Schizosaccharomyces pombe: one gene and its partner. Each later gene encodes a partner of the first gene's protein in a complex. Each region holds a gene or a part of one and is shown in the gene's direction. Other genes may lie near its edges. The genes, in order: rrp43 and rrp40.

What was found.
Region 2: rrp43 (region 1) and rrp40 share a complex: the UniProt entries of both Schizosaccharomyces pombe proteins name them as parts of the RNA exosome complex.

Annotation. Positions count from the first base shown.
Region 1 is NC_003423.3:3,331,182-3,334,877, reverse strand, and holds rrp43 (exosome subunit Rrp43), read left to right. Parts: upstream 1-1,932; 5' UTR 1,933-2,108; coding exon 2,109-2,152; exon of another isoform or gene 2,153-2,250; coding exon 2,251-2,586; intron 2,587-2,692; coding exon 2,693-3,125; 3' UTR 3,126-3,196; downstream 3,197-3,696. Other genes in the region: RNA polymerase I upstream activation factor complex subunit Acr1, read right to left, coding at 523-1,275; dph2 (diphthamide biosynthesis protein), read right to left, coding at 3,382-3,696. UniProt on the Schizosaccharomyces pombe protein: Non-catalytic component of the RNA exosome complex which has 3'->5' exoribonuclease activity and participates in a multitude of cellular RNA processing and degradation events.
Region 2 is NC_003424.3:1,178,028-1,181,710, reverse strand, and holds rrp40 (exosome subunit Rrp40), read left to right. Parts: upstream 1-1,770; 5' UTR 1,771-1,779; coding exon 1,780-2,502; 3' UTR 2,503-2,855; downstream 2,856-3,683. Other genes in the region: SPOM_SPAC22A12.14C (BSD domain-containing protein), read left to right, coding at 1-482; mug84 (pig-P phosphatidylinositol N-acetylglucosaminyltransferase subunit), read right to left, coding at 870-1,457; dihydroxyacetone kinase Dak1, read right to left, coding at 2,904-3,683. UniProt on the Schizosaccharomyces pombe protein: Non-catalytic component of the RNA exosome complex which has 3'->5' exoribonuclease activity and participates in a multitude of cellular RNA processing and degradation events.

The DNA of each region.
Region 1 (3,696 bases):
CTATTTCCGTAGTATTTGTTATCACTTAATCTCCACATTTTTTCTACATCGGACTTCAAGTTACAGTACCACGTGCCGCCCTTATTTTAAACGAACACACCATCAGCTTTGCATAGACTGTTAAATAGCTTATACAATTTAGTAAAACTGTGTAACTTAGATATATTGGAAAACAGTATCATAACAGTAAAGATTTAACCTCAGCAAATACTTGCCACTTCCAGTTTAAAGTGTAGGATGAACTTGTAAGCATGATAAAGTTGAAACAATATTCTTGTTGCGTAGAACCTTTTTCCTAGATCAACGCAAAAACAAAATAACTTAAAAAAAAAGAAAAGAAATTCGGATGCAGAAAAACTATATGTGCAAATACGGCGGGAGTTACACAAATAATTAAACATATACATCAGCCAAAAGATGTTTACTGGAACATTAATTGTTGAGACTTACGCAGATTGACCTGTTCACAGATGCGTGTTTTTTTTCAAAATACTCATACTTATTAAATTTCCCACCAATTTCTTAATCCTCAAATTCTATCGAGATTTCTGGGTTAGAGTGTGAAACTTTTTCAATATCAATACTAGGTTGTAACGACATCTCTTTGAATAATGATTGACAAGCTCTTGTACCATTGCCCAATGCAAGAACGTCTGCTTTTTGCGACGAGGAAAACGAACCGTTTGTGACTCGAGCAAGTCCGTAAAGAATCTTCCAATCCATAGGCTTTACACGTGATTGCATGCTTTTGCTTCCCTGTTCTTGTCGAAAAGTATCAACCGAATCAAAAAGGCGTTCCAATTTTATCTGTAACCTTTCAACCAAGTATCGGAGGCCATCCGGATTAGGCAGTTCCTCAGAAGAAGCCATTCTACCCAACTTGTGTAATTTTTTTGATGCTAAACGCACAGCCAAATATGCAGCCTCTTGGCGAAACCTCGAAGCCGAGGTTCCATCAAAAAATGATTCATCGGGGATGGAATGAATTGTAGGCCATACTGCACGTAGACGTGGTGGAATCCTTCGTTCATAACCGTCCAAATCGCTTTGCAATTCATTTCGACGAGTTATACCAGCTTTATAACTGCAATAAAGTTGAATACACAAATTTTTCATCTCAGATCTTCTCAGTTCGGAAACAATTTCTCGATACTCTATTAGCTGTGCGTATAGAGCATCTTGCTTTCGCATTTCTTTTTCATCCGAAGTATCCTGAGAAGAGGAAATATCCTCTTGACTTCCTTGCTGCTCTAATTCTTCCTCAGAATCATTCATAGCATCATTTCCTCAGAAGGTTTAGCATCCGGCTGTTGTGTTCGTAGGCTAGAGGTTAAGGAAAGGTCATTGTACCTGGCGCGATATTAAGTGTGTTTACTGACTTTTTTTTTTAATTTCCTTTAACTATAATCTAATAGAAAAAAACTTTTCCTTTTTTTTATTAATATAAGACTTTTGCTTCGTCTAACAACCGATAAACTAAGAGTGTGCAAATTTTGAAATATAAACATGCACCCAAATAACTTACTTTAATTTAAGAGCTATATATTATGCTACTTACCAAATTCCGTATGTATTCTGCTGACTTTTAATTGTTTAATTATGCCTTATTTTCTTTAACCATGGATCATTGTAAATTTTGTTATTTTACCTTTTTTTAAAAAAAAAAAAATCAGTAGAAAAGGCCTTAAATAAATTTTTTTCGAATTAGCATTTTTAAATGTTAATTATGTGATCTCTTTTTTCAAAATCGTTTAAACGAATTGGGATTTTGTAGCTAAAATTCAAATGAATTATCAATCCTTAATTGAAATTTGCACCGAATATACCTTCAATAAATTAAAAAAAAACCAAGGAATTTAAACATTTTAAGGACCTCACAAACCTTTTATTTACCATATAAGTTTTTCATACTTTACTTCGTACACCTATTTCATCCCTCTACTCCATTTCATAATTTCAACCTGTAGACAAAATTCAGCACATATATCGAATTCTTGTGATTCATATTCATTTTATATATTTTTCAGTATCGTTCTTCAGTTATTTGGTCTTTCTACGTTACTATATCATTTAGCTTCGTTATTGAAACACTACATTCTTTTCACATCATGAAAACTGTTTCGGGGGTAAAACAGCTTTCATTTACACCTTCGTAAGTTGCTCTTTGATTTCTTATTCTATCTTTTTTAGTGCTCTGTTTCCTTTTCACTTTGTTTTTCTTTGTTACAGTACTAACATTTTACTGGATAGAATTTTTAAGAAAATCACGCCTGAGCAGTATTTATCACATCTTCTTAATCAGGATGTTCGATCAGATGGGCGGTCTGTATCAGAATTCAGAGAAATTGTAATTAATGATAATTGCATATCTACTGCTAATGGTAGTGCTATCATTCGAGCTGGCGAAAATGTCTTTGTGTGTGGAATAAAAGCAGAAATTGCTGAACCTTTTGAAAACTCTCCCAATGAAGGTTGGATTGTTCCCAATCTTGAATTATCACCTCTTTGCAGTAGCAAATTTAAACCTGGCCCTCCTTCTGACTTGGCGCAAGTTGTCTCGCAGGAATTGCATCAGACTTTGCAACAGTATGTATCAAATTATTGGAATTTTTCTAATTTTCTACCATACGTTTCATTTATTGTTAAACTATCATTTAGAATATTTAGTTACTTTTACTAACAACTTATACAGATCTAACTTGATTAATTTACAGTCCCTATGCATTTTTGAAAAAAAAGCAGCCTGGGTATTGTATGCTGATATTATTTGTTTAAATTATGATGGAAGTGCCTTCGATTATGCATGGGCAGCTTTGTTTGCCGCTTTAAAAACTGTTAAATTACCAACTGCTGTTTGGGATGAAGATTTAGAGAGGGTTATCTGTGCTTCTACCCTTACAAGACCAGTTCAATTAAGTACTGAAGTTCGTTCTTTCTCATGGTCAGTATTTGACGACAAGTTGTTAGCCGACCCTACAGACGAGGAGGAGGACCTTTCAACTGAATTTTTGACAATTATGCTTAATAGCTCCAAAAATATTGTTAAGATAATAAAGCTTGGAGGCACTCACATTCAACCCCTTTTATTAAAAAAGTGTATTGAGGTTGCAAGGTCTAAGTTCTAACAAATTTTTGGGTTATCAAGGTGTATAAATTTTGAAAGTTTGAAAATATTCAAGTTCGTTTTTAATGCTTGAAACGTAATATTGATCTTGCTGTAATATAAAATACTATAGTCATAAAGCTAATTGATTTTCAAATGCTGTAGGAAATTTTTTTTATATAACTTATGAACCCTGTTTATCTCCTTTAACCAGTAAACTTTTTTTTGTCAAACTCTAAAACACAAGCATAGGAAGAATGATCAACTCAATACCCGATTTATTTACCAAAATCACGTTGAATCTTTTCTTTGCTGCCTTCACCAACATATCCTTTGGCGATGCCACTCTGTCCTTCGTATAATTTACTAGGACCTTCTCCTTCATCTACACTGTCAAGTCCCGACCAAGATTTTGACTGAAGAAACGCCGCTGCTGGAGAGTAAACCCCGTTCACTGCAAGACTTCTCATGCCACGCTTTTCTATAGAGGCTGAGGACGAGTCATTATTCTTTGCATCGGCAGTCTCAAGAGTAACGTCTAAATGTCGCATCGGGGTTGAATTCACAAACTTTCCAGTAATCAGACTAAAGTG
Region 2 (3,683 bases), on another chromosome or scaffold:
CTGATTTAAGGAAACAGATGGAATCTTTAGTACCTTCTGAAGTTTCTTATGATGATTTTTGGAAACGATTTTTTTGGCATAAAGAGGTTGTACAGCCGATAAAGGCAATTCAATCAGGAAACGATGAAGAAGAAATTTTTAGTTGGGGAGATGAAAGAAGTGATGAAGAAGAAAGTGACAATGAACAGGTTAATGATGAAAAAAAGCAATCAAGTGAAGAAGATACTACTGAGAATAATTCAGCAGCTGAAGTGATAGATGAAACCGTCAATGATTTGGAGTCAGCAGTTTCAAAAGGCTTACAAATTGAAACTCAACCCGCAAGCCATGATGGAGAGGTTGATGGAGAAGTTAAAGAAGAAGAGGAAAATAAAGTATCATCTTCCAGTAATATAGAAGCTTCTCAAAGTTCTCTTGAGGTGAAGGATGAAGCAAATAGAAAAGTTGATGACGATGATGAAGACGATGATGACTGGGAATAACGACTCTCGTCAAACTATTAAAAAGAGATATACTGTTTTTACTTCTCTTCTATTCATTTACTTGTTTTGGTGTGTTTTGTTCGTATAGCTAATTATTTGTCTGAAAACATTTTGTTTACGAACAACTCTTAGGTATATTATTAGCGGAATATAAAAAACATCTAATCTTGAGTATGCAGGTTGGAGTAGTAGGACTAGAGCATTAATCAACCTTCTTATAATATTATACATTTACATATACTTTTTGATTGTGAAACTTAAGGAAACCAGGATTTAAAAGTAAATCTGTATGGGTCGACGACATCAATAGATAATAAGTCCCTTAAATAATGAAGATTTTTAAGGAGAAAATGAATTCTGATATCACTTAGCTGCTTTTAGTCTTTTTTAAGTTTCTTCCAGTTGTTGTTTATTCACATCACATAGGCGAAGATCAACAACTCGACCATGAGCAGCACCATCTTCTTCACCAACGAGTGCGTATTGATCAACGATACATTCTAAGCTGCTAAATGGCTTAGTCAATACTTCGGTATTGTAAGCGTTTAGCACAACGTGAATGTAAATAACAAGAACAAATAACCAAGTAGGAATAGCTAGAGCCCACCAACGAGATAGATAATAATGAATCTCAAAAAATTTGAGAACAGGCGCAGGCGTCAGAGCCCAAACAATATACACGCCGAACCCCAACATTGACACCAAATACATCACGAACCCGTAATACTCATAAGTAGGAACTTTTACCATTATATCCCAATCTTGTTGATCAATTTCTGCAATGGCAGTTCCCTCTTCATCAGGCGTTGTAGACCTCGTTCGAAACATCGTAGTCAAAGATGGCGACGGTGGAACCAACATCGGATGTCCGTAAAACGGAGGATCAAAAACAGTAGTTTGCCTTACATCTTCTATCTCTCCTTCAGCAGAACCCTCTATCCCTTTTATGAACGTGGAATGATGAGTAAGTGTCATCCAAACATGTGTTTACTATGTGCATTTGTTAGATGAGAGCGCGTACTGAGATGATACAAATACAACTACGTCTGCTTACGATGTGATTAAATTCGATATCCCTATTAACGACATACATACAGAAAATCCTCGTAAACAGCATTATAGCACAATGTACGTTTGCGTTATTTTTCACAGTCTGGGCTAATGTGATTTATAAAATTAACGAGATTTACAGTATTAGTTTAGACACACTTACCGTCCAAGACATTAATCCTCGAATTATAGTGTATAACTCGCGAAAAATCAAACCCCAAATAGCTAATTTTCTTCTGTTAACCAAATGGCTGAAGTTGAAGAAAAAGGTCTGTTATCTTATTACTTTCCTGGTGAGCGGATACCAGACTCCATAATTAGTCAGGATGGATCAATTCGTTTAGGTCCTGGTTTAGTCTTTCAAAAGAAAGACCGTGAAGAAGAAATAGTGGTCTCAAAAGCTGGGAGGTTGCATCAAACTGGAAAAAATGCTATGTTGATAGACTCACGGACAAAAAGATATATTCCTGCTACAAATGATCAAGTTATTGGGCAAATTATTTCTAGATTTGCGGAAGGTTATCGAGTAGATATTGGGTCAGCTCATATTGCTCAATTGAATGCATTGGCTTTTGAAAATGTGACTCGTAAAAGTAGGCCCAATTTAAATGTTGGAAGCCTTGTGTATGCTCGAGTATCACTCGCTGATCGTGATATGGAACCGGAGTTAGAATGTTTCGATGCTACCACAGGGAAAGCTGCAGGATATGGTGAACTTAAAAACGGTTATATGATAACAGGTTTATCTTTATCTCATTGTAGGAAGTTGATCCTTCCTAAAAATACACTTTTACAGACCCTAGGAAGCTACATTCCTTTCGAAATTGCTGTTGGAATGAATGGTCGCGTTTGGGTCAATTCTGAAAATCTTTCTACTACGGTCCTCATTTGTACAGCTATCAGAAATTGCGAATTCATGTCTGATGAAGAGCAAATAAAGTACTGTAAAGACCTTATTAAAAAGCTCTAACGAGATTCAGAAAAAAAAATTTGAATAATATGCACAGTCTATTTAACAATTCTTGTCCAATTGGGTTTAATTCAAAAATGGTTTGCCCTTATCTAGGAGGGACCATTTCTGAATAAAGTGTATTGTTTCTTCTTTAATGCCTGTGTCTAATATTCCCATACAATTTCTGTCGTTCTTTTATTTATTACAGCAGCGTGTTCATACAATATCTACACTCGTCCTTTCTCAACTGTTTTAATTAAAAAATTACTTATTATAATGCATGAATATACAAATACAGATGCAAAGATAAGTAAGCAATAATTAATGCATGCATAATGAAAATATAATTGTTATTCGTGCTCGTAAATAGTTTTTAAGATCATACCAATTCTACAATCCCAAAAAAATTTCGTATCCAATTATTTCGTAAATCCTTCGACAATTGCAACGACACCAAGAGCGCCGGCATCGGGAACTTTAACATCATCACCAACGTAGACAGCACGTCCAAGTTTGGCTTGCATATCTGCAGTAGCATCAGCACCTTTACGAGCCTCCTCTACGGCAGCATTAAGATCATTAGTTTTAACAAATGTTTCGACAAATGGAACAAGAGCATCACACATAGTGCTGTCACCAGGACGAGCGGGAGTATACTTGAAAAGAGTATCAAGAGCAACCTTCAAACCAGCAGCCCATGTCTTAGATGAAATGTCCTTGCTCTTCTCCAAGGTGTCTTTCATGCCCTTCGCAAAGCCATGGAAGAAAATGGCGTACAAAGCACCAGATGTACCATCCATATTGTCTTCAATAACATCTGCGATATCACGAACAATACGAATAGGATCGTCAGAGAATTTGTCGGATTTAACAAACTTCAAAACACCTTCAGCACCACGCTTCAAAGTAGTACCACAGTCACCATCACCAGCCATCGTATCGAACTTTGTAATTTTAGGCTCTGCTTTGATGAGATTCTCCATCGAATTGACAATCGCCTGACGAACCTTCTCCTTATCGACAGTAACGGGAGACTTGACATCCTTCTGACCCTCCTCGATGCTGACATTGCCAATCTTGTTTTTGGACTTCAAGTCAGAGGGTTGACACAAAGGCCATCCGATAGCTTCAACAGGTTGGTCAATCAAATCAACCAAAGAGTATTCTTCGCCCTCGACTTTGACGCGGTCAGTGGTACG